7 linked regions of the Nothobranchius furzeri genome follow. The protein of the gene in region 1 interacts with the protein of each later gene in a pairwise test. Links are inferred from orthologs where the notes say so. Each region holds a gene or a part of one and is shown in the gene's direction. Other genes may lie near its edges. The genes, in order: meox2a, fkbp6, pcsk5b, cib3, fuca2, pacsin2 and pak1ip1.

Region 1 (4,218 bases):
AGCAGAATTTTAAATTAGGTTCATGTACTCTTGAATATAATTGATGAATTCATTATTATTTATAGCAATTAGACCAAGTTTCATGTGTGGATTTGATGCCCAAATCCATGTTTCTAACTAGTATTTATTTTAAAAACTATACATATAACTAAAATATTTGAATTGTATAAATAAAATAGGTTAAGAAAAATTTGTTTTGTCAACAGATTAAATTAAATAAAAAACTGAAAAGAATAAAAAAGAAACATATTCCTTAAAATATTTTATGGCCTTAAAAAATAATTCCAAGTCTTAATTAACACAAAATAAATTTATGTGCAGAATTTCTCTTTTATTAGGATTAAAACAAACCTGATTCATGCAAATAAAATACTTACTAAGGTAAAAAAAAGAGTTGTAAATAAACATTTAGTGACATCAACATAAAAAACTGCTTCAGAGGTTGGATGGATAAAAAGCAAGGGGTCTTACTAAAGAACCCTGAGGGACACCACAGGTTAAAGAAGCTGATTTATAAGAAAAATCTCTGATGTATACAGAAAAGGATCCTTCGCTCAGATAAGAGGCTAACTTATTAAAAAGGTTCCTTGAACGTTCTCAAGACGAGGGATAAAAAGTCATGACCTGCTGGATCGAGTGCAGCTGTGAGATGCTGTGATAAACAGCTCCGACACCAGAGTCAACAACAATTAGAATATCATGAATCGTCTTTAAGGGCTGGATTAAACCAGATTGAAAACCCCACACATATGGGTATGTGGTTAAAAAACTACTGGAATACAATGATCCACCTTCTCTTTTAAAAGTAAAACAGCGTAAAGGCGGGTTGTGACGTCCACAGGGTTCAGTAATCAAAAAAAAAAATCCACATTTGAATCTGTATTTGTGTATCAGTTGATTCATTCTTTATTTTAGCCGCTAAATAAAATAATAACAAAGTGTGAATTATTTGTTTACACAAAAAAATTACTCAATAGGTGACAGGAAGCCGGAGAGCATCACCGTGGCTCCCGGCTGTGGCGGTATTTGTTTAGCGATGCCGTGACGTGCTGAGTTAACCTTTGACATCTCTCCACTTCCCCTGACTCCACATCCCCTTCTTCCAGCCACACCCGTGAGACATTCACGTCGTTTTTAACACGTAAAAATCAAAAAGAAAGGGAAGATGGGCACCACAGGTCAAGTCCAAAATTAGGCTCAGCCATTTTAATAGTGTAGATTTATTATGCTGTGCTTTTAGGAGGGTGATCATATATATGTGGTCAGTAGCGCGTATGCAGTCTATGACCCAGCCTCCCTCTCACGTTACACCCTATTTATAACATCCCCTTTGCTGGCTCCCCTCGTTCTGCAGTTCCTAGGAACCTCCTGCGCTTCCAGCCTCGAGCCTCAGTCTTGTGTTCCTCCTGACATCTGAGAAGAGGTGCAGCAGCTTGTCCTGGGCTAACTGTTTATCCTGCACAGCCTGCCAGGCAGACGCATGCTCTGGATTACCACAGGACACCAGTCTCAGAGCACTTTTTGCTCTCCACGCTGACTTTTTGATTACTGTGCTTTAAGGGGAACACAGAAAAGGTTTTGGGAAAGTCTCTTGGATATGTGCGTGTGATCTTTCTTTGTTTCCTGGTGATTTAGTAACTTCATCCCCGTTACCTGCTCGTCTCACCTGTACTGGAGGTCTCCTCACCCCATGGATCACACGCTGTTCGGATGCCTGCGGAGCCCCCATGTCCCGGGTCAGGCCCTGCATCCTGCCTTCACCCAGTCCCCCCTGACTCTTCATGGACGCTCAGATCACATCACCTACCCCGACCTGGCCTCTTCATCCTCCTCCTCCTCCACATCTTCCCCTTCGCCCTGTGTCATCTCCAGCTACTCGACTGATGATGGCCTGTTTACCCACCACCACCACCACCACCACCACCGGAGTCACCTGCCTTCCCAGCAGCATCACCAACAACCTCAGCATCACGCATCTTGGCACATCCCACAGATGCCGTCACCTGGCGGCGGCAGTGTGCGTCACGGCCTCTGCCACCCGCATTCCCTCTCGTCCCACGAGAATGTTCCCACACCTCCGGACCTGGGCCACCCCGGGGCACCCAGTATGTGCGCCAGCACCCCGACGCTGGGCAATGACAGTACCCCCACGGGGGCCTCCTGCGTACCCTCAGACTTTGGCAGACAGACTCTGTCACCTGCCGAGGCTGAGAAGAGGAGCAACAAGAGGAAAAGTGACAGTTCAGGTAAGAAGAGATGAGATGATCCTAGAGAGGGAGTTTAATTCTATTATTTCACAAGACCGCCCACACGCAGACTAAAAGTGAATCAGCATTTTTAAAAATGACCACAAACATCTGTACAAGTTGGCGGGATTCTGGGAAATCCACAGCTGTGATAGAAAAACCAAAAATCAGTTTGTAGGCGTCGGCTGACACGCAGCGACGCTGCAGGCGTACGGCGGCGCTGAGCAAAGGCCACGCTGCGACTGCACGGGCACATCTGACTGCTGGCACGCTTTGTGTAAAACTAACATCTGGTTTGTTGCGACGCTCTTCAGAGGGCAGAAAACAAGGTGCACAGTTAAGAATTGATGTCATGGATTGTAAAAGGCAACACCGGCGCCTCGTGCTGCACTTAACGCCTCACTGAGGCAAACATGTCAGGTCTTTTCTTCTTTCTGAATCTTGTGGTGAAAATAAATCACTGGAACGAAGCGGGAAACATAAGGAGTCACGATGATCTAAGAAGGCAAACTTTTAAATAAATGAGCACACTGGAAAGAAAAATCTCAAACAGCATGTTATTATTTTAATAATTAAAACAGTGATCAAATGTTTTACTAATTTACCAACAAATATAGTTTAACTTAAAAAATGATCTGCTTTGTAGCGCTGCTTTTGAGTTTAATTTAACAACTTTAGCCCGTGTCCCCTCAAAACCCTAACCCTAAATTACGTTTGAATCAAGCTGAACCAAAGAATCACACAAATACCACAAAAGCAGATTTGACTAAATGTGTACCGACTGAGATCACCTGCTGGATGACCTGCAGACACCCACCGAAATAATCAATCACTGCCTGACAAACGTCTGGGTTTAGGTCACGGGAGTCCTGGCAGGGAAGCTGATATCGCTGAGAGTTTCAAGGAAACGTGTGCTCGCCGTTCCCTCAGTCCTTTTGTGGATGGCAGAGCTTCAGCGCCGATCTTGCATCCTTTTAAAGGCCTCTGTTGTCACATCTCAGATTTTCTCATATGGGATTATAATTTTGATTCCAACAGTTTATAAATAAATGTTTGTAAATTTTATTTTAGAATAAGCCTTTGTTGGGTTTATTAGCCCCGCCCCGAAACACGACTGGAAATAATTTGATTTATAATTCACAGTCAGTCCAGATGTGATGGAATTGGAAGAAAATTGGAAAAATCATTGCAACACAATAAAAACAAAATGACGAAGCCTAATTTATTTAGTTGTTCCGAGTTAAACGTCCAGTTATCCAAATGGAAAATGTTGCAATCGCATATTTCATCAATGCGCTGCTTAAAAAATTTTTCTTCTCTCCGTTTGAAATCCCCGGAAAACCGAAATCCTGCCTTTGCTGCTGCGTCAGATGAGCTATGCATTCTCGCCACAGCAACACCAATCATACTGATTATGGAGGCTAACGACACTGCTGACTCAGTCAGCTGTCTAAATATCAGACCGCTCGCTGCCTTCTGCATGAGATAGAGCCTGGCTTGGATTCCAGCATCTGGACCAGGAGCTCGAAGGAAACCTGAATTTAGCAACAGAAATAAAAACAAAACCTGAGAACTTATTTCCATGTTCAGTTTTTACCTCCTTTCTCCTCCAATATGGATCAGTTTTCTGCTTTTGCTACCAGGTTGTGACTGTTTCCTGATGCCAGGCTGCAGGCTCAGTTAATGAGCTGAGTCAGGGAGTCTGGTTTCTGCTTGGGTTTGGGGTTTTTTGTGGGTCTTGTGAGGAAAGGGTGTCTTTGCTGAGTTGATAGTGCTGCGGAGGGAGTGGTCGTCCTTTAAAAAGTTCAGAGTTTTCTGACAGAAACAATAAAAGATGCTTTTTTGGATGAGGTGTTGTTATAAAAAGTGCAAGCGTGAGGTGCCAGAGTCTTCTCGCTGGCACTAAGAGTCGCTCTGAAGAAGAAGACGTCACACTGTCATTTAACGTTCATAGACTCACCCATCTTGAATC
Region 2 (4,357 bases), on another chromosome or scaffold:
ACATGTTCCAAGTTACAAAACTTGGTACGTTACATTGAATATTGTCCCAATCCTAGCTCCATACAGTCCAAGTTTTTCTAAGATCTTTCCCAGTCGTAGCGAGTAGACTGAGAAGAGCAGTGGCCCCAGCATTGAACCTAGAGGCACTCCCGAGGGGAGCGGCACAGAGGGAGGGAACATTCGGCAATGTGGATGCTGAATCGTCTGTCTGACTGGTATGACCAGAACCAGTCAAGTGGGGTCCCTTTCATTTCCACCCACAAATCAAGCCTCCGAAGTAGGATGTTCTGGTTGATTGTGTCACAGCCTGCCGAGGGTAGAGGCAGACTGGCAATCTGTGAGTTCTGGAGAATCTCAGAATGGCTGGTGTGCTCTAGAGCTGGTGGGTGTGCTCTGAGCCGTCGTCCTACCCATTCCACCCCCGTTCGAACAGCCATCATCTACCATCATCAATGCAAGACCTTGGTGAGAAGTTAATGCAACACTGGATGGAAATAAATCTTGTAAAATTGCAGAAGCTTATCAAAACAACGCCACAGAAAACGTGTGCCGTAATCAAAGCTAAAGGCGGTCCAATGAAATATTACAGTGTGTGACCTTATTTCTTTGGTGGTGACTATTTTTCTGGCCAGGTAGTGTTTTATTCTAACACCCATTTCCAGCAGCTCAGATGGATTTCCAGTACAGGGACAAGGAGTCCTTCAGCAGTTAGCAAAAACACAAGTAAATGTGTACTTGTATAACAATGTTAAACACAACTGCTGTGTGGAGTCAAAGTGCTAAACCCAGAAAGCTACAGCGCTACAAACTTTCTTTATAACTTTTCATAAATGAGAAGGAGTATTGACGCCCTCCAGTGGCAATAAGCTGAAACTACATATTGGCTCTCAATTTAGTCGATGTAATTTAGCCTCCTTGTCTCACTAAAGTGGGAAAAAATTCTAATATTTGGCTTTTTATTCGTCGTCTTTGGAAAATTAATACTGAGGAGAAGGAGAACAGACAACAATTATAAGTTAACATACTTGGTAGAATACTTTCTGTAAAATCTTTCATAATTAAACACCATGACATTTTAGCATTTGTAACCAGGTACCTTGCTCTAACGGTCTTTTTCTCTTATTGTTTAGCTAAAAACACAAAACTCAATTTATGTAACTGTGTTAAACCCAATAAAGGTTTTTTTTGTTGTTGCAAAAACTGGCAGCCCTGGGGGAAATCGGCGCCATCTTTTTAACCTGCAGGTGATGGCTGCATTCCATTTCGAGGAACTCATGCTTTTGTTGAGATTTTGTTGGGATTCAGAGCGTGTACTTTAATTTAGGAACAAATTTGTGCACACGTATTTATAAAAAAAACCCAGTTATTATGCGACAAAGAAAAAACATTTAAAAGAAATTCAAATTTGACATCTTGACCTGGTTGGTTAGCAAATTGGTACACAGATGTTGAACCTGCCTACATGTTCGTAGCGGGGCAGCTGACGCGTCTGACTCAAAGCAGAAAAATAACAGCTAAAACAATTAATTTAAAGCTAATTACATTTTTGACACCGCATACATCAGGTTTAATTTTCAGAAACAAGTTTTGGCCCGCGATTAAATGCCTTTAAACGGTTTAGTACCGACTTCTGCAAGGATGCGCCCTTCTGTGGTAAGTCGAAGCGATTAGCTTAGCCGAGTTTTAGCTTAGCTAAATGTGGCTTTGTTTTTCTAATTAAATTAAAGAGTCTTATGTTTGTACAAACGTCTACTTTTATTTAGAAAGGGTTGTTAGAAAACGTCTCTTGGGCTGGTCATTTATGGCTGTTTTGGTAACAGACTGAAAACAGCTCCAAATGTCTTCGTCATTGTAGACTCCCTTTCAGCTGCTAATGCAGCGGATGGACGACGTTTTGGGGGACGGAGGGATCCTGAAGGAGGTGGTCCACCCAGGAGAGGGTCCACCTGTGCCTCTAAATGCTTCAGTATTGAGTATAATGCTTGAGATATTGTTAAGTCCTCTAAAGGCATGTATAATTTACAAATAATGTTCAGCATGTTGTTTTTTTGTGCCTTAAATAGTGTATTATTCTGGGTTTCTGGAGTATTCTGATCAGCCTTATGAATCCAACACCTACATCAAGCACCCCCCACTGATGAAGCTTGGGAAAGGTAGGAATTCATCCAGGCTGCTCAGTAAATCACATTTTGAGCTTGAATGGTTTTTAAATAATTTTAACAGAGGTGACATTAGCTGGACTGGAGATGGGTCTGTTGACCATGAAGAGAGGGGAGTTCTCACGCTTCCTCTTCCAGCCCCGGTATGCCTACGGAGACATGGGCTGTCCTCCATTGATCCCTGCTTCAGCCACGATCCTGTACGAGGTCCAGCTCCTCGACTATCTTGACTCAGGATTGGTTGATGATTATGTCGCGAGGAGTCCGGTAGGGATGCTGCTGTGTAAACTGGTATTTTTTTCACTTAGGTGTTACACATGCTCGATCAGCTGCCAGCCTGATTTGTACTTCTCTTCATTTGTTCTTGGTAAATGAGAAGTATGGCTTTTTGATTCTACTACAATAGACACAACTTGAGTTCTATGACAGCGAGAAGGCTGCAGGCTCAAATCCCAGCTGTGGCTTTGCTGCACGGAGATCACATGTTGTCTTTGTGAATGTCTAGATTTTCAGCAGACACTCTGGATTCCTCTACAGACCAAAACCATGAATGGTTGTTTCCAGTCAGTTTCTGTCCCTGTGATGGACTGGCGACTTGTCCAGTGTGTCTCCTGTCCTGTGCCTCTCGCCCAGTGACCTCAGGAGTTAGGCACCAGTTCTCCTCAGGAACAACCAGTGCAGAACGAGTGCTTTTCCTTCGTTTGAGATGCACCTAAAAGAAAACTACACAGCATTTCAAACACGCACTTCAATGATTTAAGTAAATTGGTGGCTTTTCTGCTTTTGTCCTCAGGAGGAACAGAATGCCGTTTCTTTCCCCATGTTCCTCACCGTCGTCAACACACTGCGCAGCTTCGGCAACCGCTGTTTCAACCAGAGCCGATATGAAAACGCCAAAGATAACTATAAACGGGTACAGTTAGGTTTTCTACTTCTGTAGCTAATAGTTCTCTTTGGTGTGTGCATTTTATCTTAAAGAGCAAGTCACCCCCTACCAGAGTATTACTGCACTCCCACTTCCTGTCTGAAAAAGGCAATACATGCTGTTGCCTAGCAGAACGAGAGGGTGGAGCAGCTAACAAATACACACACACACAGGCTCACAACGACATTGTGACATCATATGGTACCAGCTAACGTTCTAGGGTACCTCTTAGCCAATAGCGATGGCAGATTTAAATTCAAATGCAGTGCAGAGTTTTCACCTGACAACGGCACAACACTGACAGTTTTAGGCAGAAAATTAAAATTTTAACTAAAATGCACTAAAGTGCTAAACTATTGACGACACGTGTCTGCAGCACGATTAGACACACATTTATATAGTTTATCAGAAAAAAATGTTGATTTGGGGGTGACTTGCTCTTTAATGTGAACTAGTTCAGACGGGAGTGTGTTTTGTTGCTTTTGCACAGGCAGCAACTCTGCTGGGAAACCGAACAGCACAGAGTGAACCAGAGAAGGAGAAGATCAAGGCGGCTCTGCTGCCTCTCCATCTGAACTGTTCTCTCACCGAGCTCCGCCTGGAGAACCCACGCAGAGCCCTCAAGTACGGCAAAAAAGCCTTAGCGATAGATGCTACCAACACAAAGGCTCTTTACCGCTGTGGACAGGTCAGACTGGACTTTTAGCACTCCGATATTGTCCCACTGTGTCAGAATTAATCTTCTCTAGTTTTAAACAGCTTTGTTTCAGCAAAGCAAACTTCAGAGCCATTTTAGATGTAAAATGATGTAAATAAAGCTTTGATTGATTGATTGATCTTATTCAGACTTGTGTCTTCTGTCCTAGGCTTACATGGAGCTGTCTGAGTATGAGTGTGCTCAGAGTTGCCTCATTTCTGCTCAAGCGAGGAAGCCGTTTGACTCCGACATCAACAACCTTCTGAGGAAAGTGGCGATGTAAGCAGAGTTCATTAAGGAGCTGCTCTCATTCCTGTGGCTAACTGAGTGACAATCGTAGCACAATATGTTGAAAATGACATCAATGTAAAACTTTAAAGGGACATTATGGAAGTTTGACAGCCAAAACATGTATAGAAATAATAAATGTCTTCTTCATACGTTCTCCTGCAATGCCCTGGTCCTGTAGAACGAGCCCTGGCATTTTTACTGTGATTGCCTGTTTTTCTGTAAAATCACAGAAAAAGAGAGATGCTCGGGTCGAGCAGGCTGCTTCATGCGCGTTCACGCTCAGGC
Region 3 (3,621 bases), on another chromosome or scaffold:
ACGATCACAAGCTTTGGATAGTGACCGAAAGAACAAGATTTCAGATAAAAGCGGCTGAAATGAGTTTTCTTCACTGGGTGGCTGGGCTCTCCCTTACAGATAGGTTGAGTGGCTTGGGCCAGGATGCCTCCTGGACGCCTCCCTGGTGAGGTTTTCTGTGCACGTCCAACTGAGAGGAGGCCTAAAGGAAGACCCGGGACACGCTGGAGGGACTATGTCTCTCTTCTGGCCAAGGAACGCCGTGGGATTCCGCCGGAAGAGCTGGCCCAAGTGACTGGGGAGAGGGAAGTCTGGGCCTCTCAACTTAGGCTATTGCCCCCGCGACCTGATTCCGGATAAGTGGAAGAAAATGGATGGATGGATAAAATATTTCTCTCTATTCTTTCTTTACAATAAATTATAATATTGTGAAAGTTATGTTTCATGCGTTTTTAAAGTACTTCTTTTGGGTTTTATTATCTAACTAAAGTGAAAGATGATCCACAAATCTTGGTTGCAGATTTGGCGAAAAAGAAAAACAAACAAACATGAAGATGAGTTTGAAAAGACAGACGAGGTTTGGATTTGAGTAACTCCTGACACACATTTGCACTGACTGTGAGTTCAGCGCAGCAGAGAGAGCAGGTGTGGAAGGTGTGCAGTACGAACACGTGCCAGTGTGTGCTTTCACACATGAGTTAAGTGTCTCACTCGTGCCAGATGTGTTTCTTGGCAGAAAACTCTAGTGTGTGTGCAAAGCTTAAAGAGTGTGTGTTTGGGGGGTATTTTGTGCTCTTGAGGATTTAGAGGTCTTTTTCACCTCGATTAAGTTTCCTGTGGGTGAATCAGAGGGGGTGGCACGGAGCAGGGAAGTCCTCCAGCAGATGTTCACCTACACACACACGCACGCACACACACACACACACAAAGGTATGATCTAAATGTTTTGTAAAACACTCTTTTCCTCCTTTTTTCCCAATCCCCTCTCGTTTCAGGATGTGTGTTTCCGAATGCCCAAGTGGCTTCTTCCGTGACGACAGGAAGCGCTGCAAGAAGTGCTCCTCTACGTGTGAGACTTGTGTCGGGAGTCGCAGCGACCAGTGCATCACGTGCAGACCCGGTTTCCACTTCATTGAGGACTCCAACACTTGCGTCGTTAACTGTGGCGACAGCTTCTACCTCGACAGGGGTACGCTTGTGTGCACGTGTGGCGCCTCGTAATGCAGTCAGGCAATCTTGATATTTGAAAAGGATTCCTTTAACATTCTCTCTCTCTCTCCTCTCGCTCTCTCTCTCTCTCTCTCTCGCCACTACAGAAATAGGAAATGACTGCTCAGCTTTGATAGTTCAAACTATTTACCCTCTATCAGTCTATTGATGCTCCTGGCTGCAATGATAAGAGTACTGAGCTAAATTCTTGCTGGATGGAGAAAGTTTTCCACAAACGGGAAAGTAGACTGGACCTTTTAAATAAAAACATCTGTTTGCCATCTGTGTTACAAAAAATGTAATCTGCAAAAACTGCTTTTACCTTCCAACTTCAAGCGATGCCATTTTATCTTTGATCTAATGTCTAGCCACTTGTTTATTTTCTCACACTTGCTGAATCCAGCAAGAAAAAAATTCTGCTCTAGCAAACTGGCTTTTCTTCCCCTAAAAGTTAGCCATAAAAGCAGAAAAAATCTCTTTTTTTTTACTGATTTATTTTTGGTTTTTTATAATTAATAGATTTGTGCAGTCCTGTTCATTCGTGGCACACATTAAAATGAGATGTTCACGTCTTGAACATGAGTCAAATCTACATCCCAGCCTGGACGAATGCAGATGAGGAACAAAAGACTCAATGCATCAGTTAATTTTCTGTACGTTCTTGCAGCCGCATCAGTGTGAATCCTGGCAGAGTCTCTGGGTACTCTGGTCCAACTTTAAAAAGAGCAAACTGGTTCATTTTCTTTTCATCACTCTGGCAGCAAAAGTGGGAGAATTCATCCAACACACTGGCAGATTCATCATTTTATCATTTAAAATAACTTTTTAGAAATAAAGTTATAATGAAAGCACATATGATGTCAGCCAAAGGTAGTAACAGTATTTCTGACAACCTCACGCTGACATGATGGATTAATAAATGGTAAAAATAACCAAAAGTGTTTCGAGCAAAATCAAGCGTTCAGTGCAGTCTGAACCCCGAAATGAACAGATGTTTCTATCTCCTTTATTATTTCTGCTCATTTCAGTTGCTGCTATCTTTGTGCCATTCCCCCCCATTTTAACCAGACCTCTGGCTCTCCTCTGACATGCTCCCATTTTGTCTTTCAGATCTGCACATGTGCAGAAGATGTCTAGAAAACTGCAAAAAGTGCACAAGTTCTAGCATCTGCACGGAGTGTAAACCTGGGATGAGGTAAGCTGAGTCTAGAGAAACCAAGTCTTTCATTGTATAATCCCTTGTGTTTAACATTCATGTTAATCTAACATTTCCTGAATTAGCAAGGAAGGAAATGAAATCTTTCTTTACCGCTTTTTAACTCATTCACTTCCAGCCCTTATCTGAACAGAAGCCCCTGACTGCCAGCGCTTTTGAGCATTTTTACAGTTTTTTTTGAAGAGCCACAGAATATTGTGCTGCATGACCTTGTAAACACCAAAACTACCAAAAGGAAGAGTTGACTCACTTATTTAATCAGGAAGAAACAGAGTGTTTCTTGCTTTTTCCATTCTTTCACAATCCGCTGTACAAGTGTGAGCTGCAGAAGCTTTTCTGGTTTGCACCTCGCTTTAGGCATAGCGACGCCCCAAAACAGTCTCTTATTCATGGATTGTCTACTTTATGATCATGTGACATATATGGGTTAAAGTCAACTTTAGAGGCATGATGCTTACACTCAGTGTGTGCAAGCGCGTCCCCAAGCACGCCCAGTTAATGATGGCTTTAGTTGTTGATGGCAGTGAATCGGATAACAAGTTTTGCTCTAGGTTTCTCGCTTTTTGTTAAAACAACCTACATTTCATTAAATTTAGGGACAAATTAGGTGATGCATGCAAAATGACATGAAACCATCTGACCCAGGAGCTCTGTTGGAGAAAGCCTTTAGCATTAAAAAACAAAACAACAACAACAACAACAAAAAAAAATATATATATATATAATTAACAACCGTTCATGTTCGCTCATATTCTCTGGTACTTCCTGTCTTTTATTCATGCCTGACCCTGACGCGCTCCGCTGCTGCAGACCTCAACACCCATGCTCCTGTGATTTCTGCTCACTGGCGTGGCTGCGCAGTGCACAGTCCGCTGTTTTTGCGGTCGGTAGATCCCTTTGATCTGCTTAGTTCCAAAGTAACTCATAGGATGAAAAAGGAGAAAGCCAGGCAGCAATGTTTCTGGAGGGTTGAGAGGAGATGCAGGAAGATTAGAGACTGACAGGAAAATAGTCGAGTAAAAAAAAAAAAAAAAACAAGAAAACAAAATGAAGTGCTTAAAAATAAAATAAAGAAACAACTTTTAGTTACTTTACAGGGAGTCTCTGCTTCTAATTTAGATCAGTGTATTACAGTGAGTTTCTGGTTTGGGTTCACAGAATGAAACTGTGAAAGCAGAACATCCCAACTGTTTTCCACTTGGGAGCCTGACTGAGCA
Region 4 (4,233 bases), on another chromosome or scaffold:
TGTCAACTGTTGCAAAAAGTGAGAAGATTCTCACTGCAGAGCTCCATCTTTTCAAGCTGCGCCCTCAGGTGACCCTGACATCCAGCAGGCATCACTTCTGTCAGGTAAAACAAATCAGCAAATTTCTTGGCTGAAATGAAATGCACCGTGGTGGGTCTTCAACGGAAATGCCTCTGCCTTCTTCAGGTCAGTGTGTATCAGCTCCTGGACAACAGCCAAACCAACAGCAGTCAGGCCAGGAAGCTGCTGTCTTCTAGACTCGTCTCAGTCCACTCCTCTGGTTGGGAAGTGTTCACGGTCACACAAGCCGTGAGTATTTTTTAAACTTATTTTCATTCGGTCTTTAAAAGCTGTTTTAACTGAGAGTGGTGGATTTCCCGCAGGTCCGTCACTGGATGCAAGATGAAGCCAGTAACCTGGGACTCCATGTGGTGGTTCGAACTCTGGGAGGGAGCCAGGCGGACCTGAAAGTGATCCGCTTTGCTTCAGGGCGCCACCATCATCAGAGCAAACAGCCAATGTTGGTTCTCTTCACTGATGATGGCCGTCGCTCTGCTGCACTGGAGAGTGCAGGTGAGATTTGTGCCATATTGATCTGGTCAGGGGACACTCGTGCAATTCAGACTTTTCTACAACTGAAAGTGCATTTGGGAAATAAAATGTACCACCTTTTAAATTCTTTAAACTCTTTTTTTCCTCCTAGACACACATGAGGCCATTTCCACCTCCATCCTACCTCAGATCTCCACATCAGCCCCATCTTTCCGCATCGCTCGCTCCCTGGACCACATGGATGAGGAAGGCCAGCTGAGGCCCTGCCAGCGCCTCCCTCTCTACGTGGACTTCGAGGAGATCGGCTGGTCGGGCTGGATCGTGTCTCCCAGGGGTTACAACGCTTATCACTGCAAGGGCTCCTGCTCCTTCCCTCTGGGTCAGAACATGAGACCGACCAACCACGCCACCGTGCAGTCCATCATCAATGCCCTGAAGCTGATGAGGGGTATCCAGACGCCGTGCTGCGTGCCGGACAAGCTGTTTTCCATCAACTTGCTCTACTTCGACGATGATGAGAATGTTGTTCTGAAGCAGTACAACGACATGGTGGCTGGAAGCTGCGGCTGCCACTGACTGCAGACATTGACCAAATGTAACTTGACCTTTGACCTCTAAATAATAAGTAATGTGCCAAATTCCTCTAGACATTGTAATATATATATATGTAAATATCCATAAATAATAATATATGACTGTGATGGAAGTGGTGTCTGGAATAACATGTAAATGTGTACATTTTGCATTTTCTGGTAAATTTCTGGTAAAAAAGGAAAATAAAATGGAATACATTTTTTAATTCACCAATCTGGAATTTTCTTTTTTAATTCCCAAATTTACAATTGCATCTTAAACGTTTCCAAGAAACTGCAAACCTTTGTTTAAATAGGTAATTGAGTACCAAAATTAAGATGAGCTATCAAGCAATGATTTGGTTTTTAGCTGAAACAAAAGTCATCTCCCATTACAACTCTTTTGCACTTTACAAAACCTGGCCTGTGAAGGCTGTAACCTGAGCAGCGAGCGAGGCGTTGGCCATAGAGTGGCATCAAAGGGGGTTGAAACCACTTGGCACGATGCTGGACGACAGCCCTTATTCATCGTCAGAGGGGCTGCTATTCACAATGGAGAAAACGATGAAATGCTGCCATTATGGTGGCCCGAAACCCGATCTCCCCTTTGGCTCTGGTCTCCTTTTGTCCCAGTATTTCATATCTGACTCAGGCACCATGAGGGGAAAACAAAATTCACTCAGTGCTGGAGCAGCGATGGATCTGAGGATCGGCGTTTGGACGCTCAGACATGGGGAATAAACAAACCATCTTCACAGCACAGCAGCTAGACGCCTATCAGGTCAGTTTTAGTGTTGGTTTCAATCTGACTTGGACCCGTGGGATCTAAAAACATCATGTGTTGCAGCTCTTCGTGTGTTTGAGCTCAGTGTGAGCCTGAGTTTGTTGAATCCATATTTTTGCCTTTTTCTTTAACCTCTTAATTTCCTATTTGAAATTATTTCTCCAAAAAATGTAGAACTGAATTACTAGTTGTGTAATATTACGAAAACCACATAATAATCAGCTTTACTTAGTTATATTACTATAGAATAGAAATAAATGAAATTCACCCTTTCAACCTGTGGCTCCTCCACCAGAGGGCAGTAGACATGAATAAGACAGGATATTGGGGTAGTCTCTTGATATAGACACTTTTTTAAAAGACCACCTTCACAGAAAATCTTTTTTTTTCTTGTATTTAAAAAATAGGATTATCACTCTGGGTGTCACATGCAGGCTGAACAGAGGCTACAACAGAAAAGGCTGTTGATTTTGCATCCAGGAGAGAGCACGTCTCAGCTCGCAGAAGCTAACTGTTAGCATTAGCAACTCCATCACACGGCAGAACTGCACCAGGCTTGTGGTATTTGTGGAGATAAAACATTAAACGTTACAAAGTAAACAGAATTAATCAGGGGTAGATTCATGCTGCTGTTAGCCAATCAGAGGCGAGATATCCAAATATCATAATAAGCAATAGGGAGCCTAAGTCTCGTCCTTTTCCGGTCGGCTAATGGGTCCCCGGGAGAACGAAGAAATGAATGCAAGTCAGCGGGGCTAAAAGAGCTATTGTCCGCCTTGCCTTACGCTCTGGATGGCACAGATGTTGTACTGCAATGTAAATGAAAACTAATGATGGGTGTTTCAATCATGCCTGTCACGTACTTTGAGATTTATCAGCTTGTAAAAGTTCTTAATTAGCATGACTACAAATCAGACGCTGGTACGTCGCATGTATGACGTCACCACAGAATCTCCTCTCCTAGCGTAGCTGCTACTTAACACATGGCCAGATTCAATTCAATTAAATTCGGTTCAAAACTACTTTATTAATCCCAGATGTATGGTGGTTTTTTCACCCTGAAGGAAGGATTTCAAGTTTGCTGAACTTACAGCCATTTTCCTCTGTTTTTATCCGTGTCGGTTTCTATTAGGTCACTTTCGTGAAGTGCATTTGTAGTCCTGGACTTATTTTCACACAAAACCTAAAATAACATTTACCCCCGTTCGAGAATCAGTGCTTTCTTGGCATCAAAATGCTTCTTTAAAGTTCACGGGCATCATATGTGAAATCCATGGCACACAACGAGCGGAATTAGAAAATAGCGTTTTTAGCCCCGTTTGACTTGCATTAACTTTTTCGTTCTTCCGGGGACCCATGGTCCGGAAGTAGATGGGCGAGACTTAAGACTCCCTATATCAGGGGTGTCAAACATCCGGCCCGCGAGATGGTTGTGTAAACTTTATTTTCATACTTTACAATGTAGGGTGAAAATAAATTTATCATTGTGAGCAAGTTTTCTCTGTAATGAGTATAAATAAAACAAAGCTGCGCTCAAGGCTCACACAAGAACTTGAATCACATCCTGAATTTGGCTGCCACTCAGGATGTGACTTATTATGGAACTAGGTTTGGGACAATATTCAGCGTAACTTGTACCAAGTTTTGTAACTTCGAACATGTTTCATCACATGTAACTTTGGATTCGTAACTTGTCCCAATCCTAGTTCCATAACTTCTGATATTGATGTGCTGGTGAAAGCTAAAATATGTAAAGTAAAATGAGTCAAATATACTTTAAGTGCTGCATGAAACTGATCTTGCCATGTGATCTGTAAGCTCTTTGAATCACTAAGGAATGGTTTTTTTTTTTTTAATTTTCAAGTACACTTCAGGTGTTGCACTTGTACTACACTGTCCTCAGGCTCCAGCCTTGTTTTATATTGATTGTATTAAAACAAAGAAAACAATCTGAAGTTTTTTTTTTAATTTACCGGTCCGGCCCACTTGGGACTAGATTTCCCTCTGGCCCCTGAGCTAAAATGAGTTTGACACCCCTGCCCTATTTGCATCATCCCCCACTCCTCTAGCTAACTTCTACTTCCTGAAATAAAAGCACCAGAACATTTTCACACAGAGATCAACACACAAGGCATTCAATCATAGAAGAGACCACAACAAATGTATTGAAAACAACTAAATGACAGCATTAACATTATTTTATAACTGCAGTTTTTAATAAAATATCTATTAAAAGGTCTTATTTTGAGCAGTACAAATAAAGGGATTTCCCCATAAATACATTTTTGGATTCTTTTAGTTTAATAATCAAATTTTTTACAGTTC
Region 5 (4,131 bases), on another chromosome or scaffold:
AAAGTACCTCAGATACTTGGAGGTTATATCTTAGTATGAAGTGAAAATTTTAAATAGATTATGTGAAGCACAAATGTTCAACATTAATAATAATAATATGAGGTGTGAAGATACTGATAGATTTAATTCCTAAAATCAACAAATGCTAATCTGCTGTAATTTAAGATCTGAAATGAATCATTTCAGGAAAAATATTCATCCATCATTCATCAATGTAAAGTTCAGGTCAGGACACATTATTCAAACATTTTGGATTTAAACAAACTATTCAGCCAACAAAATATGATTATATGAAGTTTTAAAGTCATTTATATGAGTCAGGGAAGATAGACTTTTTCAGAGTAAAAGATAAGAAGTTCTGCATGTTGCAGCCTTGAGGACTCGTGACAAATGCAGGATTTGTTAATATTGGCTCAAGTTTATTTTTTCATATTGGCGCCACGGTGTCAGATCGACCTGTATGAAGAGGTTTGGCCTGTAAGGGAAAAGTTAACATCTGGGCATTTTTGATGAAAAACGTGGCCATTCGGTAGCTACAGCTTTTCTTTCTTTATTATTTTTTTTACATGGGAGTCAATGGGAATTTTCTCTGTTTTGGAGTCAGCTCCTAGTGGATGAATGGGGAACTGCAGATTTTGTCACTTCCATGTTGGCTTCACTTTAGATCAGGGATTCCCAAAGTGTGGTGCGCGCACCCCCAGGGGTGCGCGAGCTGCCGCTAGGGGGTGCGCGAGGTGAAAAGTGTAATGGCTGCGGAGCTCAGAGAAGTCTGTCATATGTCACCATTAGCATAGAAACTCATTTGTGGGCGGGCCGAAGAAAAAGTAAGTGGGCCCAATAAATGTAATTGAAAACAAGTATATTTTTGCGCGCACGCGTGTCCTCCACATGTGCCCTAGCTTCATAATAACAATGCGCCGAGCTTCAGCACTCTGGCCTGCGCACGCCGATATGTTCCGTATTTGATCATTTTTAACGGTGTTGGAGGAATCTGAAGGTGGCGAGTCATTCTGGCAGATTGTAATTAACACCCTGTTTCATGCAGGTGTTCTGACGTTGTAAACCTCACACACAGAACATTATGGATGTAACTAAATAACAAGAAATGATTCCCATTCAGGCTATTGACAGCGCGCTGAAGATCTGAAGTTCAGAGTGCGTCTGTCAGAGATCAGACACGTTCCAGCGGAACCACGGCTCACGGGTGCACAAGTGAGCAGATCTGGGCTGGGCAGAAGTAATTTTACAACATTGGTTTAAATAGCGCCAATAACGAGACGCGGTGACTTGAGCGGCTGTGCCGCGCAGGCGTGCGCGCGCACACACACACACAGATTCAATAAGTGCGCACACTGCTTTAACTCCGGCGCGCCGTCAGACTGAAGGCAGAAATGAACGCTGCCTCCACGCGTGATGAAAACTTTTAAGAGGTTATTTTTCATTCAAGGTCAAATTAAGATATTAGCTTCTGGGATGAGTCGGGTCCGCTCCAGCCAGTGACTCCTCATGAATCTGACCACAATTCCTGTTACTGCAGCATTTGTTATTCCAGTCAGCGTGTTTAGACTAAAGCATGTTTGTCTAAAGTTTAGACAAAGGGAGTTTGCCCCTTGGCTTTTCCTGATTGCTTACTACTTGTTGTTAAACATCTGTTAAGATAAGCTTACATAAGCTGTGTGTGTGTGTGTGTGTATGTGTGTGTGTGTGTGTGTGTGTGTGTGTGTGTGTGTGTGTGTGTGTGTGTCTGTGCGTGTGTGTGTGCGTGTGTGTCTGTGCGTGTGTGTGTGCGTGTGTGTCTGTGCGTGTGTGTGTGTGTGTGTGTGTGTGTGTGTGTGTGTGTGTGTGTGTGTGTGTGTGTGTGTGTGTGTGTGTGTGTCTGTGTGTGTGTGTGTGTGCGTGTGTGTGTGTGTGTGTGTGTAGACGCTGGTGGAGACAGTGTCTTGTGGAGGAAACCTGCTGATGAACATCGGCCCTACACACGATGGAAGGATCTCTCCGATCTTTGAGGAGCGTCTGAGGCAGATGGGTCAGTGGCTGAAGGTGAACGGGGAGGCCATCTACAACACCTCAGCCTGGCGGGTTCAGAGTGAAACCACAAAAATGTGGTGGGTCTGCGTTTTAGATCTTTTGATCGGAAAGCTTGTGTTACATTTGCTTAGTCACAGCTTTTTTATTTTAGTTTGTTATCAGGAGGCCTCAAGCATAAAAATATAAAATATTTCAGTAATTTTACCATATTAGTGTCTATTGTTGATTTCAATTGTAATGTTTAGTGTAATTTAAAACAACAGATTATATTTTGAAATATAAAAAATATACATTGAGCACAATAAATGATTAGTTGGCATTTTGATTGCGCCAAAGGTTTTATCATCAGAGGTTAAAGGGCCTGTATCATGCTATTTTACACGTTTCCAGTAAATGATTAACATTGGCACCATTGAGATGTCATTTTTAACCAAGTATAAGTTATTTTCTTAACCCATTACTTCTACCTGGAATTAAGATGCTTGGATCAGATGAAACCCTGCCTTCCCTCCTTCCACAATAGTGCACAGCTGCAGGCCTAATTTAGTCAATTTTTAGTAATTAACTCTTAATCAGACAAATAAATGACCATTAAACAATATATTTATGTCAGCGGTTTCTACTTTTGAGTCTCCTTAGCTACAGCAGCTACTGAAATAAAATAAAAATTGAATTTGTTGTATTAAAGAATCATAGATAGTTTATAAGTAGAGTTAAGTTAGGTAGAGTGTAACTGTTTATGAAACACACCTGTTTTGTTTTATCTGAACAGATAAGCTAAAGTTGTTCCTCCACAGGTACACAGCCAGACCTCAGGAAAAGACAGTATTTGCTATTTTACTGGATTGGCCGGATAAAGGATGGGTGATTCTGAATGAACCAGTGGCCACTCAAGGATCCACCAAGGTAATGTTCACTTATCAGTAGTTCATGCATGAGCAACACGCTCAAGGAGAGTAAGAGATGAGCGGTCTTTCTTCTCTCTTACCTGAAACAGGTGGAGCTTCTGGGTTATGGCTCGCTGCAGTGGGAGCCGGCGATGGCCAGCGGGCTGAACATCACCCTGCCTCCACTGTCCTTCAGACAGATGCCATGCCAGTGGGCCTGGACCTTGAAGCTGACAGGTGCCTCCTGAAGGGAAAGCCACATCACATGAACACAAGCTAATGTGTCTGAGTCACTAAACTTCTTATTTGTGTTCAGAAATTGGTTCAATCATGAGAATAATAAAAGCCACACTGTTTTCTGAAACTTGCACTGATGTTCATTTTTTTAAATTGTGAAGTAAATACGTTTTTAGGCTCTTTGTGACCATTCATTTAAAACTTGAACTGAGGTTTTATCTTACAGCCAAAAAGCAGCTAAATCTCTCTTTTTTTGGTTCTAATTTGCACATTTTAATCAACAGAATCATTCTGCCGGGTTTGGGTTTTTATGTAAAAAAACGTTTCTAGCTTACATTTTGATGATTTTTCTCTGTATTTAACGGGATTTAATAGGGTCGCTGTGATTTTGTGTATGAATAATTAAATAAAATAATTTGAATAATTTCTGGCATTTGCATTTTCTTGCTAAAAGTAGTTATTTGTGGTGTTTCTCTTCGGTTTTGTTGCTCTCTGGTGCCCCCTTCTGTGGGGTCTAGAACAGCATCCCAATTGTGTGGGACATTTTACAGCAGCCTGGATCTAAACGGAGCGGTGCACCCCTGCTGTGCACAGATGACCCAGCAAAACAACACTCTCCCTAAAGCTCCTCTTAAACACAGCCGTGGAAAGGCTGGCTGCACACGGTGGACGGTAAGTTTTTGCTTCCTGCTCTTTCTTTCGATAAAAATCCATCTTCTGAGCCTCCACCGACCTTCGGCAGCTGCGATAACGCAGCGGAGATGGTGCACCCGGTGGAGGGTCGATCACACTGTTGTGTCTGCTCTCTGCTGCGCGCCTTTAAGGTGGGAGGTCCCTGTTCTGCAAATGTTCCATGACGTGCAGATGGGGGGTTTGCAAGGGGTTTTCACGTCCATGCAGTTACCCCCGATCCCCTCCTCCCGTCCATGCCTCCCTCTCTCCGTCCGTCCTCCAGCAGGCTTTCCCCAGCGCGTGACTG
Region 6 (4,336 bases), on another chromosome or scaffold:
CCTTTACTTTTTTATTTATTACTCCATCAAAAAAATGCATCAGTAACAAAGTTAATATTGATTTATGGCAAATTGTTGACAAACAGGCCCTTTAGGTTGTATAGCAACAGGTTTATTCACGTTTTCAAATATAAAATAGATTAAATAAAAACCAGAAGGTCTTGTAGATCGGTAAGTAAGAATTATGGAACTGCATTACATGGGTATGTGCTCAGATCAGTAATTATTCATTGGGTATTTTGGTTTATTTATAGGGTGGATGTTTGTAAAAAAAATTAACATACAGAAATGTTAATGTCTGCTTATTACTTTCCTTCTAAAGAAAGGCGTGTTTATTTGTACATGAATAAATTATTGGGTTAAATGTACATTTACAGCTAGCAGCATGCTTTGTTTTCTGTTATTTAACCTCTAAATTACCTCTGATGTCTCTATGGTCCAAGGCCATCAGCAGCTTGTTTGTGTCAAGTTTGTTTGCTAAACACAACAAATCATTCATGTAAGAAATAGTCTAGCCCCTCATTTTAATTAGGATATATTTACTATTACAGTAAATCATCAGAAGAGCGTGCTGACTGTTGATAAACATTTAAGCTTTCTTTCTCATTTGCTTGTGGAGCAGCAATGTTTCATTTTAGGCACAGAACTAATAGCAAGTTAATCTGATTTTAATTAAAGAAGATTCCCTAAAAGGCCCAAATCTAATCTAACACATGTTAAAATAACACCATGTTTTATATTTAGGTATGTCTGAAACAAGATTTTAGAATGGCCTCAGTTGTCCTCGAAGTTATAAATGTTTTATTCTGACTTAAAAAGTAATTTTTATTTTAAAACTAACGTCTGAACTTCTGCAGCCTCCCAAAAAGAAAAAGAAAAGTTCAGGCACGTTATGTCAGTGGGCGTGTCTCTTTAAATGTTGAATTAATTAATCAAATGCAGGTTTTTCCACAAGAGGAAATATTATTTCAAAATAAAAGCTGTTATCTATTCCTCTCCAACTTGGATTTCCCTCCAAAAACAAAACCCGATTTAACTTTTTAATTTTTAAGTTCATGTTAGTGAGATTTTTATGGTCTACTAGATCTGCAGCATTATAAGTTCTTCACATAATTCATAGGTTTAAATCTCTTTCTACGATCTCTGGTTTAAATACGAGGCGGTGCGGAGTATTAAAGAATCATGACTTTATTTATACATAGTTGTAAATTACACTGAAATTATACTAAGCATAAGTTTTTCCTAAATGAGATTTCATTTAAGGAAATTAATTAGCATCATATCTTTTTTGTAAACTATTGATGTGTAATATAGAAAATGGGTGTGTCCTATTGCAGTATTGTTAACTATAATTTAGTTCTATTCCCATTAGTGTATGTTCTTTATTTTATTAGTTCACTGCAAAGGAAAAGCAAGTCGGAAATATATTTTCAAGCAAGATGTTTCAAGAGTAGGTTTATGGTTTATATTGAAAATCCCAACCGGATATGGTCCGTCTCTCTCTGGGTAACCGAAAGTTGTGACACACCGTCCTCCGTCAGTCGTTCCACGGTGCCGCTGCCAGGCAGACAAGCGGAGAAGAGATTTCTTAGTTGGCACCACCTACACGCACCGCTCTCCATTTAATTCCACATTTCAAGCAACGATAAACCAAGTAGAGGTAAGTTTACACCGAAAGTTTCATGTTTTACTGTTGTTCTAACTTTTCACTTTCAGGGCTGTGGCTACTTAGCTAATGAATACAGCTAACTAGTGGCTAACTTAAAGCAACGTTCTAAAGGAAGGTGATAAGTTGACGAAAATAGCTTAAACTATTCTACTATTAGGATGTAACAACACTATTAGCGGTAAAATATGGTTGGATGGACACTTGAGGGTCAACTTGTTTGTCATTGATAACATACGTAGATGTATTTTTGGTCATTGGTCATTCGTATAAAAGTCCTCAGAATAAACCGTGCACTCTGTGATTGTTGTTTATGAAACGCCGGTTTTGCAGCTGTTGTTTAGCCATTATAATGTGTGCTGTTTTACAACATCTGGCTTTAGTTTTCTAGAGATATCAGCGTTTCGTTGCCAGGAGTGTTGAAGGGCGGGGCTGCTTTCGCAAGTAAAGATAACCCTTCGGTGCATGGCATATCTTTTTGGACCCATCATTGCAAAATCTGTCCATTTACAATGGAAAAAAACGGCTTAGGTCCAGCAGCCCTGTCGGTGAAGGGGCTTACCCACGCTCCCTGTTCTGCTCAGTCAGGGCTAACGTTTGCGCAGTGCATCTAGTCTGCCAAGTCCTCTGTACTGCAGAAAACTGTTGTTATACTCGAGGTTTACAATGAAAATTGGGTGTTTTGTAGTATATCAGCCACCTAAAGTGTCATTCCATTCAGTGAGAACTGGGCCTGTTTTAGGACGATGACTCAGTATTTGTGATATTCCCATGAATCAGTGGAGGTGATCATCAGTGTGATTTAAACGTGTTCAGTGACTGGTCTAAGTTCAGTGTAATGTGTCATGTTTGTAGGGATGTTGTCAGGGTGAAGCAGTAGTGAAAATGTTCAGTTCCTCTTTTTGTCAGAGGCCAAGTGAACTGATTGTTCTTGTACTAAACTAAACGTTGGCTATTTCAGATCGAATTAATCTTTTTGGTGCATTCATTAAGAGTGTACACAAAATAGTTCAAATAGATGTGATCATTCAAATGTGTTAAAAGCTGACCGCTTGTTGTTTGTAATGTTTTAAAGTGTCTGTGGCCAATAAAAAAGGGCTTCCACAGGAAGAAATTTTACATGCCCTGTTGATGATGTAAGGATCCCCTCTTTCCTTTCGTGTAATACCGTATTTCCCTCCATTATGTTCCTCTCCATTCTGTTGGCATGGTTAGTGGAAAGTGCCTGAAAGTGTGGAACGACTGCCATTGTTTTTATTCTGATGATGGATTAAGGGAGTTTTCAGCAGCCCGACTGGTCTGGTGTGTAGAGGTTATGGCTGACCTGATGGACCACAAGTTTTACTTGAACCTCGTTACAACACGGCTCGTTTGGCCACAACATAAATTATATACTGACCACTGTTTTTGATTAGGGCTGCACAATATATCGTTAATATATAGTTATCGCAATATCAGCATGCACAATATGCATATTGCAAAGAACAGATAGATATCGCGATGAATGGTCAGCTCTAGGGCTGAAACGAATCATGAAATTATTCGAATGGTTCGATTCATTAAATTCCTCTATTCATTTTTTTACTGATTCGAAGCTTCGTTAAATGTGCGTTCCACAGTCTGAACACATTTTACTGGAGCACCATGGGGTGATCTAGATGCTGTGGAGGAAAATGGAGAAACCAGCAAAGACAGAAACCATTGTCCATTGGCAGAAACGGTCCAAAGTTTGAGATCAAGAGTTAAACTAAGAGCAGCATTGCTAATACTAAGCTAGCGGGTAGCATTCTCATGAGCAAGTGTGTTTAAGAAAAAACGTGATGGTTTTAAATGACTAAACTCCACAAGCATAAAGAAAATCCCCATCATCCCGTTTATTTGTGGATTTCTTCAGCGGTGTGGGCAGGGTCCGAAATTAAATTTTTTACTCACCGGCCAATTGGCCTGTAGATGATGAAAATCTACCGGCCAAGCATATTTTTTACCGGCCAAAATTCTAAATGATTTAGATCCACCTAAAGCATGTAATTCTATATTATGTTGATTCCAAACAGAGTGACAAAATAATTAAAACATCAATTAATAAGGAAAACAACTCTTTTGTCATTTTTACTATTTATTTATTTATTTTTAGAGATGTTTTTATGAACTCTTTCATTGAAATCTAGTCAGACTCCTTGTTTTCTCTGTCCATGAAGTCTGGCCTCCTGCTTCTGATACCGTCTTTGTGCCAAAACATTACAGCCTCATTTGGGTCCTAGTCCTTGATCTCTGGAGAACACAGCTGCACCATGAGAATATCTGAAAGTGTGTCAGGGCTAGGGTTGTCACGGTAACCGGTGTAGCAGTAAACCCCGGTAAAAAAAAGTTAACAATAATAATAACCGTCTTGTTTAAAAAAAATATCTCGGTGGATTACCGTGGCTGCGGTGTAGGCGCAGTGACCCTTACCAGCCACCGTATCATCTGTTGGAAGTTGCCGGCGGCACATGCGCACTTTGATGTTTACGACCAAAACTTTCTTTAAGCTAAAGCTGAAATAATGGCAGGAGGAGACGGCAGCACTTGGGACATTTATTACCCCTCAAAGAAGACAAAGTCGGAAGTACGGGCATTTTTTTTTTGGATATTTGAAGAATGCCGAGGGCCAGTTGTCTGTGAAAGGCAGCA
Region 7 (4,144 bases), on another chromosome or scaffold:
CTGTCCCACAATCTGTGTAACTGACATTTTAATCATAAGTGGTGTATTATTTTGTTAAATAAAAAAAACAGCATTACAGAAAACTAATACAAAAACAACTTTAGCTATACAAAATAAAACCACACCCTCATCAAGTTACTCATGGAATTATTTTTGCATTGGTGGACAAAAAAAAATCACATTTTAGAATACTCTCACCTCTGGTGCTACTGGTCTAATAATTTTTAATCATCTTATACTTAAAACTTGCAAATAAATACTCTTGTTATTTTAAAATCGCCACACCCTTTTAGTAATGAAAGCTGGACAGAAGCAGATGTCAGGAAGGGAATACACACCAACACAAACACTTCTCTGTTTTTTATTTAGCCCAAACACAGATGTGAACATGACAAGGAAGAGCAGCTGCAACGTTTGATCACAGCATAAACTCAGCTATGTCCTGTTGTTTAATTCACCACAATTCATTACCAGACTCTGCTGCTTCCGCTGCCCAACAACATTTAGTCCTACTCAAAACATAAACATATTTAAACTTCTTCAACTAAACATCGTTTGTCTAAAGAAGACAAAACGGGTCAATTTAAAAGACAAACGATGAAAAACAATGTAAACCAAGGATCGTGTTTACAACAGTAGCTAATATTTCTTAAAAAACAAAATGTGATTAAGTCTAAAACTAGTTTAAATTAACTAGCTCAAATGGAAGTGAGATCCTTAATATAAACAGAGATTAAATGTTTAAAGTAAGTTTTTCACCGAGAGTCTCTCGGAAGTAAAGACTCACCTGTTGGCCATGATGATTTCTATTAGAGGAAAAACTCAGCGAGTTTTCAGAAAACTGCAGCAGACAGCGAGTCTGAGTCGTCAATCAGACGTTTGTAAAGTAACCAGCCAATCACAAGACTGGGGTTTGTTCTGGGGGCGGGGCCTAGTCTGTGGTTTGACATTCTGAAATTTTACATCCTGTTTTTTGTTTTATCCATTATGTTTCGACTTTTAGGCCTGAATGAATTAAGCTCTGATTCTGAAAATCAAGAAAATAGATTTTATCTGGACATTTACCAGGTACTAGACTGGTATTGAGAAAAAAAAGTCAGTAAAAGTAAAAAAAAAAAAAATACAAAGACCCACATTGTCATCACATTTCTTAATTTTAAATATAACATCATTTCCTTTATCTCAGCCAACTGAAAACAAAGATAGTTTTAAATTTTTTACAACAGGTTCGCTAAACCAGTAAAACAAATTAGTTTTCCCTTTTCTGCTTTTATTTTGAAATCCCACGTCCTGCAAAATCATCACGTTGTTGTGAGCATGCGCAGCACCTACACATGTTATTTTGGATTAAAATACGTGTTTAGCTAAAAAGTTATGTGTTAGTGTGTTCGCCGCGTGGTTTATTTTGTTTATTTTCACATATGTATTTATCATGTATGTGTTGGTTTAGGACTTTGGCGACAACAACTTTAATTTAGCTGCAGAGTTTCTTGAGATAAAAGTAGATTTTTCAAGACATCTAGCTAGTCAGCTAGCTAGCAGCATGGCAGCTGTAGTGGGGCTAATCGCTGGCTGCTACGAGCAGATCACGTTCGGTTACAAAGTAAAAACTGAAGAAAAAGTGAGTTAACTTGTTTTTGTTATGACAACATGAAAATGTCAAGACTAGTTAATGATGAGATAATATAACAACCTTTAAAGTAATATTTTCTAACGATCATCCATAACAAAAGTAGCCTTTAGCAAAATTTGTTTTGAGATAGCAAATCACAAAACAAGTTATTTGTGTTGTCTCAAAACACAATTAATACTTTATTGCCTAAAATAACACAGAGATGTCAGTGTTAATCTTTTAGTATATGTATAAGTGTATAAAAAGTGTCACTTCTTTTTATGTTGCACTTTTAATCTCTTATATTTCTTTCAAATGTGCATTTTGTCGTGACATAATAATTGCCCCTGTGTTTGAAATGTGCAATATAAATAAAGCAGCCTTGCCTAATTTGCACAGTAAATAGTCATCAAAATATTAAAAGAAAGACTAGAAAGGCAGTTTGTACGTTTCATCTAAAGGAAATGGCTAATAAATTCAGATTATAAATACTAACATGCATCTAAGTTGCGCTGTCATGCAAGAAATAAACTTAATAAATACGAGGAATATTATCAATGCAGTTTTAAATGTATTTTAAAGTCAAAAATTAAGATTTGAATAGATGTTTTTTGTTTGTCATGCAGGAGTGGACAGCCATACCTGACTTTACCCATCATGCTCACACAGCTTCAGTATCAACTGTGGCAACCAGTGAGAGGTTTGTGGTCACAGGAAGCAAAGATGAAACCATCCAGGTGTACGATATGAAAAAGGGAATCGAGCATGGAGCCTTGCTGCATCATAACGGTATGATTTTATTTTATTTTTTGTTTCACATCTTGACTTTGGGTAATTAGCTTTGTGCTACAGTAATGAAGGGCCTTCCTTGTGGTTTGACTGTAATCTCTCTTTGCTGCACAGGCAGCATCACCTGCCTTGAGTTTTACGGGACATCTTACTTACTGAGTGGAGGAGAAGACGGACTCTTGTGTGTGTGGAGCACAAAGAAGTGGGAGTGTGTAAAGTCCATCAAAGCTCACAAGTAAGCATGCAGTCAGATTCCTGCAGCTGCATTGAAAGAGCTGTCATTAATAGTTTTGAATCTTTACTTTCTCAGAGGTCATGTCACATCACTGTCTGTACATCCATCTGGAAAACTTGCTCTGACAGTAGGGACGGACAAGAGTCTGAGGTAATTCTCTCAGCTCTATAAGCAATTTATTATCAACGAGAATCCAAAATAACAGTTTTTAATTATTGTAGAACCTGGAATCTCATTAAAGGAAGATCGGCTTTTATCAAAAACATCAAACAGAGTAAGTCTTCAGTTGGCTTAGACCAAAGAAAATGGAGCTTTTTACAAAACTAGATGTTTTTAATTGCACCTTTTCACAGATGCACACATAGTGAGATGGTCTCCAGATGGGGATAGATATGTGGTTGTGCTCAATGATAAAATGGATATTTACAAGTTGGAGACGGCCTCTGTGACGGGAACAGTCACAAACCCAAAGAGGATCTCATCCATAAAGTTCTTAAATGTGAGTTCTCAGGCCAAGACTTAAAAATTCTTAAACTGAGATTTTGTACATAAACCAAATGAAAGCACGGATTAAAAAGGGCAAAATCCACGAAGGAGCTCTGTGTTTAAACTGTTTTATCATTCAGAACGCCATCCTGGCTGTCGCAGGAGATGATGAAACTGTGAGGCTGTGTGATGTTGGAAAAGCTGAATGGCTGTGTGAGTTCAAGGCTCATGAAACCAGGTGAGTTATGTTTTTTAAACAGCATTGTTTCTCTGTCTTACATAAAATGTGACAGAAAAGCACTTAAATCTTTTTTTATCCTCATATCTGTTTGTCATTTCAGAGTGAAAGCAGTGGATAGCTTTATTATGGAGGATTACTGTGTGATGGTGACGGCTTCAAATGATGGTTTCATCAAAATGTGGAAACTCCACCTTAAAGAGGCAGGATTTGTTCTAAATATTTTTATCCCCTTAAACCAAAATTCATACACCTTATGGAATGGATATTTATTTTTTCTTTAAAAGAGAAAATTAAGTTGAAAACTGTTTTTCTTGTTTAGCAGGAGCTGAATCCTCCTGTCCTTCTGGGTGAAGTTAACGCAGCAGCTAGACTGACGTGCCTCGCTGTCTGGAAGCCTTCATCAGGGCAGCAGGTTGCTGAGGAAAAGTCTGCGGCAACAAAATCTCAAGGTGGACACCACGAGTTTAATTTCTTTCTGAATTCTGAAAGATACCTCCAATAATATGGATTTTTATTTAGTTATTTTATGTGAACAAGCTGACATACACTCTTCCAGACTGTTAAGTTTCAGCAGAAAGCGACTCATCTCTCTGAATTATGATAAATGTTGAAGTATAAAATTTCTATATTTCATTTGCCTTTTCTTTACTAACATCCTATCCTTCTCCCACTCTGTCCACAGAACTTGCTCAGGGAGTTGCAAAGACAAAGAGAGTTCGAATCGCCACAGAAGAAGTCATTCTAGAGGATGAGAGCAAACCTAAAAAGAAGAAAAGAGACA

Evidence for each region.
Region 2: the proteins of meox2a (region 1) and fkbp6 interact in binary tests that used the Homo sapiens proteins (3 or more experiments, as listed by UniProt). The two-hybrid records come from large-scale screens. The link is inferred for Nothobranchius furzeri from reciprocal best matches to the Homo sapiens genes MEOX2 and FKBP6.
Region 3: the proteins of meox2a (region 1) and pcsk5b interact in binary tests that used the Homo sapiens proteins (3 or more experiments, as listed by UniProt). The two-hybrid records come from large-scale screens. The link is inferred for Nothobranchius furzeri from reciprocal best matches to the Homo sapiens genes MEOX2 and PCSK5.
Region 4: the proteins of meox2a (region 1) and cib3 interact in binary tests that used the Homo sapiens proteins (3 or more experiments, as listed by UniProt). The two-hybrid records come from large-scale screens. The link is inferred for Nothobranchius furzeri from reciprocal best matches to the Homo sapiens genes MEOX2 and CIB3.
Region 5: the proteins of meox2a (region 1) and fuca2 interact in binary tests that used the Homo sapiens proteins (3 or more experiments, as listed by UniProt). The two-hybrid records come from large-scale screens. The link is inferred for Nothobranchius furzeri from reciprocal best matches to the Homo sapiens genes MEOX2 and FUCA2.
Region 6: the proteins of meox2a (region 1) and pacsin2 interact in binary tests that used the Homo sapiens proteins (3 or more experiments, as listed by UniProt). The two-hybrid records come from large-scale screens. The link is inferred for Nothobranchius furzeri from reciprocal best matches to the Homo sapiens genes MEOX2 and PACSIN2.
Region 7: the proteins of meox2a (region 1) and pak1ip1 interact in a two-hybrid assay, tested with the Homo sapiens proteins (2 studies listed by BioGRID). The two-hybrid records come from large-scale screens. The link is inferred for Nothobranchius furzeri from reciprocal best matches to the Homo sapiens genes MEOX2 and PAK1IP1.

What each region holds. Positions count from the first base shown.
Region 1 is NC_091745.1:64,691,318-64,695,535, reverse strand, and holds the start of meox2a (homeobox protein MOX-2), read left to right. Parts: upstream 1-1,351; 5' UTR 1,352-1,690; coding exon 1,691-2,246; intron 2,247-4,218. UniProt on the Homo sapiens protein: Mesodermal transcription factor that plays a key role in somitogenesis and somitogenesis and limb muscle differentiation. Required during limb development for normal appendicular muscle formation and for the normal regulation of myogenic genes.
Region 2 is NC_091742.1:25,793,226-25,797,582, reverse strand, and holds the start of fkbp6 (inactive peptidyl-prolyl cis-trans isomerase FKBP6), read left to right. Parts: upstream 1-1,436; 5' UTR 1,437-1,602; coding exon 1,603-1,653; intron 1,654-1,855; coding exon 1,856-1,973; intron 1,974-2,063; coding exon 2,064-2,153; intron 2,154-2,223; coding exon 2,224-2,426; intron 2,427-2,952; coding exon 2,953-3,072; intron 3,073-3,574; coding exon 3,575-3,772; intron 3,773-3,950; coding exon 3,951-4,060; intron 4,061-4,357. UniProt on the Homo sapiens protein: Has an essential role in spermatogenesis. It is required to repress transposable elements and prevent their mobilization, which is essential for the germline integrity.
Region 3 is NC_091757.1:46,927,185-46,930,805, forward strand, and holds part of pcsk5b (proprotein convertase subtilisin/kexin type 5b), read left to right. Parts: intron 1-974; coding exon 975-1,168; intron 1,169-2,298; coding exon 2,299-2,383; intron 2,384-3,621. UniProt on the Homo sapiens protein: Serine endoprotease that processes various proproteins by cleavage at paired basic amino acids, recognizing the RXXX[KR]R consensus motif. Likely functions in the constitutive and regulated secretory pathways.
Region 4 is NC_091751.1:45,117,320-45,121,552, forward strand, and holds the start of cib3 (calcium and integrin-binding family member 3), read left to right. Parts: upstream 1-1,432; 5' UTR 1,433-1,854; coding exon 1,855-1,905; intron 1,906-4,233. Other genes in the region: admp (anti-dorsalizing morphogenic protein), read left to right, coding at 1-104, 187-309, 384-573, 704-1,128. UniProt on the Homo sapiens protein: Acts a an auxiliary subunit of the sensory mechanoelectrical transduction (MET) channel in hair cells. Plays a role in regulating hair cell MET channel localization and function.
Region 5 is NC_091758.1:20,099,382-20,103,512, reverse strand, and holds the end of fuca2 (plasma alpha-L-fucosidase), read left to right. Parts: intron 1-1,920; coding exon 1,921-2,105; intron 2,106-2,825; coding exon 2,826-2,934; intron 2,935-3,025; coding exon 3,026-3,163; 3' UTR 3,164-3,578; downstream 3,579-4,131. UniProt on the Homo sapiens protein: Alpha-L-fucosidase is responsible for hydrolyzing the alpha-1,6-linked fucose joined to the reducing-end N-acetylglucosamine of the carbohydrate moieties of glycoproteins.
Region 6 is NC_091741.1:43,428,625-43,432,960, forward strand, and holds the start of pacsin2 (protein kinase C and casein kinase substrate in neurons protein 2), read left to right. Parts: upstream 1-1,525; 5' UTR 1,526-1,660; intron 1,661-4,336.
Region 7 is NC_091751.1:42,045,135-42,049,278, forward strand, and holds the start of pak1ip1 (p21-activated protein kinase-interacting protein 1-like), read left to right. Parts: upstream 1-1,320; 5' UTR 1,321-1,543; coding exon 1,544-1,621; intron 1,622-2,238; coding exon 2,239-2,401; intron 2,402-2,515; coding exon 2,516-2,636; intron 2,637-2,711; coding exon 2,712-2,786; intron 2,787-2,857; coding exon 2,858-2,910; intron 2,911-2,989; coding exon 2,990-3,135; intron 3,136-3,262; coding exon 3,263-3,360; intron 3,361-3,463; coding exon 3,464-3,563; intron 3,564-3,682; coding exon 3,683-3,812; intron 3,813-4,045; coding exon 4,046-4,144. Other genes in the region: si:dkey-222f8.3 (uridylate-specific endoribonuclease C), read right to left, coding at 788-798. UniProt on the Homo sapiens protein: Negatively regulates the PAK1 kinase. PAK1 is a member of the PAK kinase family, which has been shown to play a positive role in the regulation of signaling pathways involving MAPK8 and RELA.